Sus scrofa: one gene and its partner. The main gene of each other region encodes a partner of the protein of the gene in region 2 in a complex. Links are inferred from orthologs where the notes say so. Each region holds a gene or a part of one and is shown on either strand. Other genes may lie near its edges.

What was found.
Region 1: CNOT10 (region 2) and CNOT6 share a complex: the UniProt entries of both Homo sapiens proteins name them as parts of the CCR4-NOT complex. The link is inferred for Sus scrofa from reciprocal best matches to the Homo sapiens genes CNOT10 and CNOT6.

Annotation. Positions count from the first base shown.
Region 1 is NC_010444.4:78,197,496-78,205,010, forward strand, and holds the start of CNOT6 (CCR4-NOT transcription complex subunit 6), read right to left. Parts: upstream 5,019-7,515; 5' UTR 4,616-5,018; intron 1-4,615. UniProt on the Homo sapiens protein: Poly(A) nuclease with 3'-5' RNase activity.
Region 2 is NC_010455.5:18,654,409-18,661,894, reverse strand, and holds the start of CNOT10 (CCR4-NOT transcription complex subunit 10), read right to left. Parts: upstream 3,947-7,486; 5' UTR 3,819-3,946; coding exon 3,617-3,818; intron 1-3,616. UniProt on the Homo sapiens protein: Component of the CCR4-NOT complex which is one of the major cellular mRNA deadenylases and is linked to various cellular processes including bulk mRNA degradation, miRNA-mediated repression, translational repression during translational initiation and general transcription regulation.

The DNA of each region.
Region 1 (7,515 bases), on a different chromosome or scaffold from region 2:
CACTGTCTCTTACATCCTTGCATCCTATTTTTCACAGCCCAAGTTGTATGTAACTTTACTGCACATACTGCTTCTCACTGAAATGTCCTACTCAGCCTGACAAACCCCTATTTAACCTTCAAAACTCAGCCCTACGACCTCTGAGATGACTCCCTCAAGTTTCCCAAGCAGAACTAGTTGCTCCTTCATTAGCATGCTCCAAATGCTTTGTATGTATATTCCTTATTATTGTATATAACCTGATGAGCACTTTCATTGCTTCCTTTGTCTGCCCTCCCCCTAATTTCACAAAATGCCTCCAGGCCATGAGGATAGTCATAACCTTTAAGCTTGGTGGCTCAACTTCTGATAAGCAGAGGCTTGATTTTTCCAGCTTAAGCTCTAGAGTCTGCCTAAGCTTAACTCAGAAGACAAGTTCTCAATAACTGAATTTTCATGTGTACTATTTTATAGGTTTTGATTGCTCTAAACTTTTTTCAAAACATTCTGATTATAAATTATCCTGTATTACAGAGCAATTGGGCAGAGCCCTCAAGCCCATTATAAAAGGGACCACAGACACAAAAGATACTATATCCAAGTTTAAAACAGAATCAGAGTCACAACTCCAACTACCTCAAATGTGACTTTTTAATATGGAGGGTTTCCACTTAAACACTGATATCCAAGTGATCTCTAAATCATTTTGCTCCTCTATGAAAAATATTTTGCCTCCATCCTTTGCTATAGGATAAAGATATACCTAACTTTTTGCTTGGTAAAGATAGTCCATCAAAATCTAGGCAGGACACACCTTTGCAGGTTCATTCCCCAATCACTCTCCTTGTTTCAGTGACATATCACCATTGGCCTTACCACAACACTTCTCACCTCAGTGCACCTACGATTCCTTTTGTTTGAAATGATCCCATCTGCCCAGTCTGACAAACACATATTCTGTATTGTTTTCTGTAAACTGCTCCCACACTTTCTACAAATGTAATTCTTTCTTCTCCTACAGCACTCTGTACACCTACTAAGTCTACAGACGAGAAGACAGGAACTGAGTATTATTCAGTTTTTAATTCTCAGGGTCCAATACTATGTTCAGCATATACTATTTTCTGCACATAACTTAAGTTACCAAGAAAACAAAAAAAATGAAGGGGAGGTAAAGTCCAGAGAAGGGTAATATTAAGGCAGCCTAAATTAGTCTCCATCTTACATGCAAATAACCTTCTTTTTTTGGCCACACCCTTGGCATGAGGAAGTTCCTGGGCCAGAGATCGAACCTGCACCAGGGCAGTGACTAGAGCAACAGCAGTGACACCAGATCCTTAACTCACTGTGCCACCAAAGAACTCCTACCTTCTCCTTTTCATTTACTTGTTCAAATACCAAAATATGGTGCATTCCATTGTACTCTAATGCACACAGGCTATGCATACAGTAAGTTTACAGTTTAACTTTTTTTTTTTTTTTTTGGTCTTTTTACATACAACCACACCTGAGGCATATGGAAGTTCCCGCCAGGCTAGGGGTTGAATCAGAACTGGAGCTTCTGGCTTACACCACAGTCACAGCAAGGCCAGATCTGAGGCCTGTCTGCAACCTACACCACAGCTCCTGGCAATGCTGGATCCTTAACCCACTGAGCAAGGCCAGGGATCGAACTCGAATCCCCACGAACACTAGCAGGGTTCTTAAGCTGCTGAGCCACAATGGGAATTCCAACAGTTTAACTTATTCAGCATTTCTTATTTTCACTTAGTGTTTTGTTACTTATACTACCTAGTGAAAGGGCTACCTTCCTCAAGTGAGTAGCAGATAAGGAAAGAAAAAAGTACATAAGTAAAAGATTTTGTGGAATCTAAGGATTTGAAAATTAAAATTGGAACTTTTTTCTAGACAGTAACGCTACATTCTAATTACAACAAAAGTATAAACAGTACACACTGGAAATCCAAGTCTTTTCTTCATTAAGACTGTATGTTCTTAACTGAACCTATTTTGACTTTTCCAAAGTGTTAAATACTTTAAAAGCAGGGCTTCCCAACCAGTGTACCTTATATATGGGAAAGTTACAGGTGTGCTAAAGAGGGTTCTCACCCCGTATGGCCCAAAAGCTATAGCGGTAAGCAGCCCTGACCATTTTTTCCCCCACATTTCAATCTGGTACTTGTTATTAGTTTTATACATTTAACTAACCTAGTTGTACCCATAAAGTTCCTTTTACACAACACAGTAATCTCTTGTTAATATAAGTGAATGAGTAGTGGCAAAAGCTAAATGAAGAGAGATGCCAGAGCAACAGCATTTGTTCTGTGGTATTACACCATTGGAGATCCATAACCAAGGGAAACATAAAATAGGCCATCAAAACAAACATGAAGTTGGAGTTCCTGCTGTGGCACAATGGGATCAGCAGCAATGCTGGGAGGCAGCAACCTGGGAGGCAGGTTCGATTCCAGGCTCAGCACAATGAAATAAGGATCCCCTGCTACCGCAGGTGCAGTTCTGATCTGAGCCCTGGCCCTGGAACTCTATAGACCACGGGGCGGCCAAAAAAGAGAAAAAAAAAAAAAAAAAAAAAAAAAAGAAATTAACACTGGACAATTGAAATGTCACAATTATACTGACAATATATTAAAGTAGAAGTTTATGAAAATACAACTCTTACCATTAGAAATTTCATGTATATTTAAGTGATTCCACAGGAATTTTAAGGTATATGATATAATACCATTGATTTATTTTTTCATTTTTAAAAGATTTATTGAAATATAGTTGATGTACAATGTTGTGATCAGCCTTGACCATTTATTCCAGTATGCCTTATATATATGATCCCTTTCTGTTATACTATGGTATGAAAGAGATTTGTGCTTTAAAGACTATAAAAAAGCTAATATGAATACAGTGGAATGCCTAAGCATTAACCAAAATGCATTAGGTATAAACCACAAGTACATTAAGCAAATTCCTACAGCGCCTTTATTTGTAGCCAGGACCAAGCAAGTTCTATAACTAATTTCATGTCTGTTCAAAAGGAAATAGTCTGAAAAGTTTTACTTTGCCACTGATTTAAGAAATCTGGGGGAAAAAAAAAAAAAAAAAAAAAAAAAAACCCTAAAAATCAAATAGGCTTTCAAAAGAGCTTATCCACATTTCATGTACATTACATTCTGAGTCTCAGAAAAAGACTTTTGTCCTTTGTGATACCCTCATTTTGTCATCTTTTCATTAAGCATCTTGCTCACCTACTGAGGACTGACCAGACTCAACCAGTTCAAGTAACTTCCATCCATTAAAACAAATCCCTCTTCCCTCCTAAAACTAACCTCCAGCAAGAACAGCACTTGTTCACGCATGCTAACACAAAACCCAGTCCTTTCCCTAACTGCATAATCTTGGGCAAGTTACTTTAACCTTCCTAGGCCTGTTTCCTCAACATCAGCTATTCAAATATTTTGTTTAAATCAAGTCTACTGGACTAGATCACTCGTCTAAAAATATTAAGCAATTTTTATTTCCAAAGTGATCATATTCTAAAGACTGCCATAATTACCCTGAGAGCAATTACAAAATAAGTCTTCAAAACCTTCTGATCAATGGACATAGCTCCTATACCCTACAAAACTGCTTAGGGATGGTAAATTCTAGCATAAAACAAAGTGCTAGTAAATGTCATTTTATTTTTCACTTGTTCATATTTTCTCTTCCTCTCCAAAATTAAAATCCCCAGGCACAAAGAGGCAAAAAGATTCCACACTAGCACTAATGGGACAATCCATGTGGAAAACAGGTAAGTATGGGAATTCATATTCAAGGAGACTAAATGTCAGCTTAACACAAGAAGTCCAAAAAGAACAAGCAAGATGACCATTCACAATCTGTAATTTGCAGTAACAGTTCAAGAAAAAGTTACAAGTGTTCATCAGCAGGCTCTTTGGGGAAGATGAAGGAGGAAAAGAGCCAAAGGTTTCCAAAGAAAATAATGATTTAGAAATAAATAGGAGAGATATGATTCTAGTTATCAGAAAAGACTGTTTCAAGTACTTAAAACCATCTCTGAGTCCTCAGCAGTATTATATGTCTTTTCATCTGGTTCTAAGTTCTTCTTTAACCATGTCATTCCTACCCCTCAAAATTTTTTCCTCAAACTGAGTTTTAAATATATTTGGGGGAGGAGTAAACAGTTGGTTTCCCGCTTTACCCTAACTGCGAAGTTCCACACTCCACCGCGCAATCCCACATAGCCCACTTCTCCAAAGTTGCCACCCATCCTGGCCGAGAGTCCTGGACACCAAGTCTCCTCCTAGAACGACCACAATCAGAGTCTAGGCCCAGGGAATCCCCCAACCTCGGCGCCCCCTGCGCGCCCCCGCCGTCAATCAACGCCCCCACTCCCCTACTCTGCGCGGGGGCGCGGCCTGAAGAGGCGTGGGATCGCAACAGCTGCGCGTCTAGGGACCCCCAACAGCCGCCAGCTCCTCCAAGCTGCAGGCCTGTTGCCCGCAAAACTCAAGTTCCTATGGCCCGAGCCCCCCGCGCTCCAGTCCTACCGAGCGGGGCCCGTGCGCTATCCGTGTGCAGGGAGCAGCGCCTGGCCGGGCCTCGGGTGCGTCTCGCTCACCTCTTGGGGTGCGCCGCCTTCCTCCGCCGCTGCCGCCGCCTCCTCCCTATGAGTGCAGCGGGGTCTGACCTGTGGAACCACCATACCAGTCCCGCCCGCTGCTGCAGCGCCGCCGCCGCCGCCGCTCTTCTGCCGCCTCAGTCGCCGCTCTTTGTTTCCCCTCTGAAATCCACCGCTTAAGCCGCCCGCCTCAGCCGCCCTGACGGGTCGCCACTACGCCCTCCGGCCTCCCAGCCTCCGGCCTCGCCCGCCTAACTGCGCCCACCGCTGTCTTCGCCTCCGCGCCGCCGACGTCGCCGCCACCGACGCCGCCGCCTCCTCCTCCGCGCCCCCCTAGTTTTCATTGAAAGCAAACAAGATCATGGCGGCGGCCGCCGTCCCCCAGCCAGCGAGCGCCCGGACCGCCGCCGCCGCTCCAACATCCCGGCCGCCCATTGGCTGCTGCCGCCGGGTGCGACCATTCAGCGTCCGGGGAGGTCTCTCTCCGCACGCCGCTTTCCTAGGCCCCGCCCGCTCGTGCCCCCCATACCCCTCCCCCCGCCACTGGAAGCAGTGAGCCGACCCAGCGCGCTTTGGGGCGGGCCTCCCTCTCCCCTTCCCGCTCTCCTACGGATTTCCTGCCTGGTAGCGCCTGATTTCTTAAGGCTCCTCCGTTTTTCAGCTAGGTTTTTTTTTTGTTTGTTTGTTTGTTTGTTTGTTTTTTTTCCCTCCAGCTGTTCACTCTTGTTCCTCTCTTCCCTCTTTTTTCTTGGTCTACGACTCTTCGTTTCGCCTGTCAGTCACATGGAAAACAAGGACAAGCTGATTCGAGACTTCAGTGGTAAACTGTTGCATGATTCTTCCTCCCTCAGCTATGCAGAGAAAACTAATTAGTGGCCTGTTTCAGGCCATTCATGATTACTCAGTCCAGTAAATCGAGGGACAGTTCCGGTGGTGGGATCCTAGCTTGGAGTAAAGTCTGCAGCTGTATTCGGAAATCAGGTGGTGATTGAAAATGAAAGGATAAAGGACTGGGCTGATCGATGGTGCACATTAGTTGGCTGGTGGTCCAGGCTCTGTGCTGGGGCCAGGGCAAAGCGATAAATCAGGCTCTAGCCTGCTCTGAGTAAGCGCACAGCTTAGGGTCAAGACTGTTTTGTTTTGCTTTTCTTTTTACAGCTGCACCAGCAGCATATGAAAGTTCCTAGGCTAGGGGTCAACCCACCTGAGCCACAGCCACATCAAAGCCAGATCCTAGCCAAGTCCACAACCCACACCGCAGTTCACCGCGATGTCAGATCCCAGGGATCCAACCCACATCCCCATGGATACTAGTCAAGATTGTTACCACAATGGAAATTCTTGGGCAAGACTGTTAAAACCTACTAGAGATGCATGTGGACGGGCAGGGCAGTGAGGAGAAAGGAATAGCTGTCTACTCACCATGGCAAACTAGGATGAGCCCCTGGCTCCTTCCTGGAAAATCAGCTCCGAAGAAATGAGAGGCAAATGGATTTCAGCAACAAAATGAGACACACACACACACCCCCAGCTGTCTTGGACTAGAGGATGTGGGAAATGGATGGCTTCTGTTGGGGCAGAGAAGAGCTGGAAGGGCAAGGAAAAGATTAAGAGACAAAAACTGTTTGAGTTCTATGCTTGCTTCTCCCCAGCATGGCCTTGGAATGGTCATTGCCTGCCATTTGCCAAGAAATCAACAGTGCCATCTCAGTCCTCTAGTGTCAGAGGACACTGGACAAGGGCAGGGCAACATGAAAGCTCATCAAGGGAAAGGGGTTGCAAAGAGCAAGTTTAGACTGACCTGCTGTCTGTGGGCATCCATCCCTCCACAGCTTCCAAGCCCTGAGTACTGTGCTTTACAAAGTGTCACCAGACCAAGGGGCCATTGTCATTCTCTGCCCTCCTTGTGTGTGCTGTGCCCTGGTAACCTTTACTACAGCCTGGAGAAAGAGGTGACTTACTTTTTGTAATTCATCTGCCCAGAAGGAGCTCCTTTTTGTAATTGAAACAATGTGTAAGGAGGCCAGGAAATCCAGCTAGCTGCATAACAAACAACTTAGTTGCATAAAACCATAAATGTATTATATCTCCTGATGCTAGGGCTCTGCTAGACAGTTCTAAGGGTCTCACTTGGGGTTTCTCATGCCTCTACTGAGATGGTAGCTAGGGGTTAGATGTTGGACACCTCTGTGTCCCCAATGAGGCCTCTCTGTGTAGTATCCCATCCTCTCACTTTTCTTTATGGCCTCTCTCCAGCAGGTTAGCCCAGACATCTCACATGACATCCCAGGGCTCCAAGTTCCAAGTAAGTGGAAACTACCAGAACTTTTGAAGAATGTCACAAGCCCAGTCCAGATTCAAGAGAAGAGGACATAAGCAATGCAGGAGCCGCATGAACATAAAGGGAGGGGCACACTTATTTGGGGCCATCTCAGTAGACTAGCTACCACAGGGAGGGAACCACTGGTTGCCCTGCCCGATACATCCTGTTCTTTCTGAATATCTGAAAAGAACCCCACCAAATGCCCTTCCTGATCCAGATTAAAGTGTTCCTCGTGTTAGGCAAGACTTCCTAGTACAAGTTATAAAACCCCGACTCAAACAGGCTTTATGCAGAAAGGGGTCATTTAGTATTCCAGTATCATTTAACTGAGAAGTTCAGGCATCTTCAGATGTCAACAAGGGTCAATCCAATCCCACTCCCTAATCCTCTGCTCCGTTTTATTCCCCTCTGGCCTCTTCTCACTGGCCATGTGACCAGGCACAAAAGATGGCTGTGTCTTTAGGCTTAGAGTCTACCAGCTCCAGCTGCAAAGCCATGTCTCATTTGCAGTTCACTTTATTGTGCTTCTCAGATAGTGCGTTATTTACAAAGTGAAAGTTTGTGGGAAACCTGCAAG
Region 2 (7,486 bases):
ACAGATTCAAATTTGCTGTCACCCAGCACCACAGCCACAGTGACCCCAGGGTATCCAAGCTGCATCTGCAGCCTACACCACAACTCATGGCAAAGTTGGATTCCCAACACCCAGGGATTGAACCTGCATCCTCACAGGTACTACTCAGATTCGTTCTGATGCACCACAAAGGGAACTCCTCAAACATTAATTAAGTTAGGGAGGGAATGCAGAAACAAAGGAGGAGCAGTCAATAGACAACAGTGCAGGGTATAGGTTTCTCCTCAGGGAATATAGGTAACAATAATATAGCTCTGAATTCTTCAACAGAATTAAGGCTACCGGCCAGAGTGGAGGAAGGTAACTTTGGGCTGAACCGTAAGATTTTTGGACAGCCCCCTGCCACCCCATCAACCAATCAGGAGAAAGGTACACACCCTGAGCCCTCCTCCCAACTTTTGCCTATAAAAACTTTTTTTCCAAAAACCATTGAGGAGCTCAAGTTTTCTGAGCACAAGCCACCTATTCTTCTTGCTTGGCCCTGCAATAAACCTTTCTCTGCTCCAAACTCCCAGGTTTCAGTTTGTCTGGCCTCACTGTGCACTGGGCACATGAACTTGTATTTGACAACAATTGTTTAAATTTTTATAATGAATATGGGTTACTGCTTAAAAGTTTTACTTTTTAAATGTCTGCCTAAAACTAATAAAACGTTTTGGAAGTCAGATGGGGGTTGCCTTAAGAAGTCTAGTGACTGCAGTATGCATCAGGTGGAGTATGAAGAGGTATTTCTGAGTGTGTGAGCATTCATTTAATTACACGTACACTCAATAATGTGGGTATTTCTTTTTCTTTTTGCTTTTCAGGGTTGCACCTGTGGTATGTGGAAGTTCCCAGGCTAGGGGTCAAATTGGAGCTACAGCCAACAGTCGCAGCCAGGATCTGAGCTGCATCTGTGACCTGCACCACAGCTCACAGCAACACTGGATCCCTGACCCACTAAGCGAGGCCAGGGACTGAACCCACATCTTCATGGATACCAGCTGGATTCATTCTGATGCACCACAATGGGAACTCCTAATGTGGGTATTTCTTGATAACTGCCTAGAAACCTGTCTTCCAGGAGCATTTCAAAGAACTAGTCCTCAGCAGAGCTAACTTTCGGAAGCCCTGGCTTGGCACATGTCATCAATCAGTAAAGACTTCCAATTTCCCTCCCTCAAGATGGCAACATAGTACAATAAAAAGTCTTGGCTTCAGTCTGGTCTCCCCTTGGCCACCTAGCTCTGCTTACTGATGCTAAATAAGGTCACTGCTGTGGTTTGGGTACAATCCCTGGTCCAGGAACTTCCATATGCCAAGGGTATGGCCAAAAAAAAAAAGTTAAAAAAAAAAAACAACCCCAAGACTTATTTATGCACCTTAAACACACAAATTAACAATGAAATTAGATTTAATATGAACAGCTCCTTAGATCGCCAAGAAACTCCTATTATTAGATATGATAATATAACTTGTACTTAAGTGAATTTATTTAAGACTTAGATTTGACCTATAAAAAAGGCATTCTGGAGTTCCTGTCGTGGCGCAGTGGTTAACGAATCCGACTAGGAACCATGAGGTTGCGGGTTCGGTCCCTGCCCTTGCTCAGTGGGTTAACGATCCGGCGTTGCCGTGAGCTGTGGTGTAGGTTGCAGACACGGCTCGGATCCCGCGTTGCTGTGGCTCTGGCGTAGGCTGGCAGCTACAGCTCCGATTCGACCCCTAGCCTGGGAACCTCCATATGCTGCAGGAGCAGCCCAAGAAATAGCAACAATAACAACAACAACAACAAAAGACAAAAAGACAAAAGACAAAAAAAAAAAAATAAAAAAATAAAAAAGGCATTCTGGTATTTGGGCTTATCAGAATAATTATTTCTGATAATTAAAGTTAGATAAATTAGTATTTCATATCTACTTTTGCATACAGATAAGTAACTGGGAGGAGGAAAAACTAATTGTTCAATGGGGACAGCTCACTGGTTTAAGAGGACACTCAAACAACTTTTTCTTTAGAAAGCCAATAATAGAGTTATTTGTTAACTCAACTGTTTACACAATGCATCTGTTTTACAAAATAACACAATATTGTTCAGAGTGAGGGCCAATTTCTTTAAAATGTGTAAAAATGGGGACACAGGATTTCAGGACTCCAGAAAGTAAAATGAGAGTTTAGAATGAGACAGAACCCTCAACTCTGTGTATATTCATGAGACCATTTTAACAATGAACATAAATACTTTATAAAATTTTTAGGGTGCCTAAAGTGTTTAAAAAATCCATCTACATAAAGATACTAAATTTAAACCAAATGCCAAAAATTTTAGTTTGCCATCAAGTTACCTCCATAGCTTCTTCTAAAACACACCCTCCTTGGCAGTTCCCATCAGGGCTCAGCAGTAAGGAACCCAACTAGTATCCATGAGGACACAGGTTCAAACACTGGCCTCACTCAATGGGTTAAGGATCTGGCATTGCTGTGAGCTTTGGTGTAGGTGACAGATGCAGCTCAGATCCTGCGTTGGTGTGGCTGTGGCACAGGCCAGCACAACTGCAGCTCTGATTTCACCCTTAGCCAGGGAACTTCCATACACCAAGGGTGCAACCCTAAGAAGACAAAAACAAAACAAAGCAAAACAAAACAAAAAAAATAAAACACGCCCTCCTCTTAGATTAGATGACATTCCTTCATGGGACTTCTGGGCCCAAATGTCATTTATAAATTGCGATTTATAAATACAGGGAGGAGGGAAACACCCAACAATTCACCAAGGCACTGAAGAGTTTAAGCTTCTACTTTCCGCCAAAAGCAGACTGGCTCATGTGGCTACTGCTATCATCCTCTAGAACTATAAAAGTTTCCTAAAGTCTTCCAAGTAAAGAGAGACACCAACTTTAACAACAAGAGACCCTGAAATTCCCATTTCTACAGACATTTTATTTTATTTTTATTTTTATTTTTATTTTGGCTGTGCCTTCAGCATATGGAAGTTCCCTGGGGCCAGGGATCAAAGCCTTGCCACAGCAGTGTCCTGGGCTGCTGCAGTGACAATGCCATATCCTTAGCCCTTAGAGCCACAAGAGAACTCCTCGACTTTTTTTTTTTTTTTTTTTGGTCTTTTTAGGGCTGTACCCGTGGCATATGGAAATTTCCAGGCTAGGGGTGGAATCAGAGCTGCAGCTGCTGTCTTACGCCAAGCCATGCCAGATTTAAGGCATGTCTGTGATCTACACTACAGCTCATGGCAATGCTGGATCCTTAACCCACTGAGTGAGGCCAGGAATCAAACCTGCAACTTCATGGTTCCTAGTCAGATTCGTTTCTGCTGAGCCTCGACAGGAACTCCCCACTCCTAGACATTTTAGATAGCCAAGCTCAATAAATAGCCTATTACATGTTAATAATAAAAATTATTATTCTACCTACATTCTTTCACTTCAAGATAAAACTCAGAGGGAAAAACTCACTTCAGTGGTATTACTATTTTTATTTTCCTTATCTTTCTTCACTTTACAGGTTTTCTGTAAGGAACTGGTATTATTTTTTGCAATTAGTCTTTAAAACATTTGGTTTTTTGGTAATACTGACTTCTTACCAGAAAGAGTCTGCACATAATTCCACAACGTGTCTTTACTTGTCCAGAAATAGTCTCCATTGCCAATTGAAAGAGTATATGACCGATTATCTGTAAGTTTGACTTTCCTTCTACTCTGGCCTAATGAACAGGGCTGACTTTCCAGGCGAACAGAGCTTTTAGATGCACAAACCTTGACGCTTTTTAAGCCAACAGACTTCATTTCTACCAACCAATTGCCTTTAGGTTTAAACTAAGTAGCAAAGAAACACATCTCTTTTTCAAAACTGAAAAAAGTCAGTTAACTGAAAACCCAGAAACATTCTAATGTAGAAGGTTAACAATTCAAACCTAATGGAGGAGGAGCTTCCATACAAGCTCCAATTTTCAAAATATAGCTCCAACGATGTTCAAAAAAACAAAAACAAAACAAAAACCACCACATTTTTTTCCAAAGAAAAAAGAAATGTAGGCCTAAAGAAATACCTCTACACATACAAAATAGTGCTGATGCCTTTGAGAGGGAAAATTTTAAATAAGGAAGATGCCATTTCAGAGAAAAATCATTCACATTTACCAAAGCCACCATACGGCTAAGATCCGAATACCTGGCATGTGTTTTCTATCATTTGAACAAGTAGACCTACCTTAGCAAAGCCCTAGACAGAATGGCTGATTTCTACACAGCTCCAAGAACTGACATGTGACCAGGATGCCACAAACTTGAGCACCCTGTCCAGCATGGCAGAAATAAAGGAATAGAATACCAAGTATCAAGAATATCAGCATAGTGCAGTTCCCACTATGGTGCAACAGGAATGGTGGCATCTCTGGAGCACTGGGACTCAGGTTTGATTTCCCAGCTCAACACGGTGGGTTAAGGATGCAGTGTTACTGCAGCTGTGGCTTGGGTCACAACTAAGGCTCAGACCTGATCCCTGGCCCAGTAACTCCATATGCCTCGGAAGGCCAAAAAAAGAAACAAAAAAAGAGTATCAGCATACCTCGGGAAGACAGGCAAAGCAGAACAATACCACCGCTGATGAGTATTTTTATTTTCATATCTAAGACTAGTTTTCAGTCCCAGAAAAGAGATTTACTGTAGTTTTCAAATATTAATATTTGACTTCTTAATGTCACAAATTCAAAAAGTCTAATTTTTTTTTTTTTTTTTTTGCTTTTTAGGACGTTCCTAGGATAGGGGTCGAATCGGAGCTACAACTGCAGGCCTACACCACAACTCATGGCAACACCAGATCCTTAACCCACTGAGCAAGGCCAGGGATTGAACCTGCATCCTCATGGATACTAGTCGGGTTCGTTTCCATTGCTCCACAAGGGGAACTCCAAAAAGCCTAAACTTTCACATTCAACTTAGACATCTTATTCTACTTTGAGTTTTAAATTTGAAAGGGCTGTGATGAACGTCTGATTTCATTTACAAAGATAAATACCTTCAAACATAAAATTTTAACTACTTTAAATAATTTAATGTCCCAATTTAAGTAATTTGACTTAAAAAAGACAAAATTTTCTGAGAACTCAAGTTACTTATAAATCTAAAAAACTAAGCTTACAAAAATAGTGACTCTTGGGTACTCTTTACTGTCTGTGCAATAATACAGTAAGGCTTCAACTTATATTCACAAATATTAATCAATTATCCAAACAATTACAAACTTTAATTTGGAATCATAAGACTCTAAATTCTTTTTTTTTTTTTTTTAGCGGTGCCCATGGCACACAGACGTTCTTGGGGCAGAGATCAAACCTACATCACAGCAATGACTAGAGCCATAGCAGTGATAACACGGACTCTTTAACCTGCTGAGCCACCAGGAAACTCTAAGACTCTAAATTTTTTTGGTTTTGTTTTTTGCTTTTTAGGGCCACACCTGCAGCATATGGAAGTTTTCAGGCCAAGGGGTGAATCAGAGCTGCAGCTGCTGGCCTACACCACAGCTCACGCAATGCCCGATCCTTAACCCACTGAGCGCGGCCAGGAATTGAATCTGCGTCTTCATGGATATTAGTTTGAAACCCACTGAGCCACAACAGGAACTCCCCAAGACTCTAAGTTCTTAAACATTAAAAACACTTAAAATATCCAGTGTAGGTCACTGTTAATCCTTATTCTGAAAACTGATAAATGAAAAGGCTGAATTAGGAGTTCCCGTCATGGTTCAGAAAAACGAATCTGACTAGCATCCATGAGGACACAGGTTTGATGTAAGCCAGCAGCTGCAGCTCAGATTCAACCCCTAGCCTGGGAACTTCTGTATGCTGAGAGTGCAACTCTAAAAAAAAAAAAAAGTTGAATTAAGTTTTTAACAATTGATATCCTTTCTGGGAAAAATTACACTTCATCCCAGTTTATATGTCAGAACTATTCTTTGTAGAATGCCAGCTAGGAGTTCCCGTCGTGGCTCAGTGGTTAACGAATTCAACTAGGAACGATGAGGTTGCAGGTTCGATCCCTGGCCTTGCTCAGTGGGTTGAGGATCTGGTGTTGCCATGAGCTGTGGTATAGGTTGCAGACTCGGCTCGGACCTGGCGTTGCTGTGGCTCTGGCATAGGCTGGTGGCTACGGCTCTGATTAGACCCCTAGCCTGGGAATCTCCATATGCCGTGGCAGTGGCCCTAGAAAAGGCAAAAAGACAAAAAAAAAAAAAAAAGAATGCCAGCTAACAAATGCAGACACGGTAATAGAATTAGGAAAAGTATCACTTTGCAACCCCCAATGATGTAACTGATTATGGCAAAGATCATCTACAGTGGATGTTTATATAATGCCAAATTATTACCACATAGATTACTTTTTTAAAGAATCCGAGATGCAACTGTCATATAACATTATATTAGTTTCAGGTGTACAACCTAATGATTTGATATTTTTGTATATCCTGTATATTACTTCTGACTGAATATGGGAAAGGACATTCCTGTGACCACCTTAACAAACTGATCAAACTGAGCATCATCAATAGTGGACAAAGTGACAGTAGGTGCTTTTTTTAAAAAATGATTTTTATTTTTTCCATTATAGTTGGGTTACAGTTGATGTGCTTTATATAAAGTACAGAACGCCACTTACAAAGCATCTTAAAAATATGTTAAATCTAAATCTAATCAAGCCTGTAGTAATAACATTCAGTTACAGAAAATACAGGAGATATAAGGAATTAATTAAAAGATACCAGGAAGAAACAATCAAAACATGCAGAATATGGGGCATTTTGTAAGACAGTCCACTTAATCTCACTGTCATTAAAAAAAAAAAGAAAGAGTGAGTTCCTGCCTTGGCGCAGCGGAAACAAATCCGACTAGGAACCATGAGGTTTCGGGTTCAATCTCTGGCCTCACTGAATGGGTTAAGGATCCAGCAATGCCATGAGCTGTGGTGTAGGTCGTAGACATGGCTTGGATCTGGTGTTGCCGTGGCTGTGGTGTAGGCTAGCAGCTGCAGCTCTGATTAGACCCCTAGCCTGGGAACCTCCATATGCTGCGGGTGCAGCCCTAAAAAGACAAAAGACAAAAGAAAAAAAAAAAGAATGAAAGAAAAAGAAAAAAGATATGGGGTATTAAGAGAAACATCAAAATACAATGAATGAGCCTTGACTGGGTATTAATTTAAAAGTCACAGTTTCTTTAAAACTTTAAATAACATTTTTGGAACAATGAAGGAAATCTAATATATTCAAATATTAATTTTCTGAAGTATGATTATGGTACTGTAATAAGTTTATGTCCTTATTTTTAATAAATGTATGAAGAAATTTTAGAGAGATGAAGTATCAAGGTCTATAGCTTATCTAGAAATGATTCAACATCAAGAACTATAGCTAGATGGAGTTCCCTCTGTGGTGCAACAGGATCAGTGGCATCTTGGGA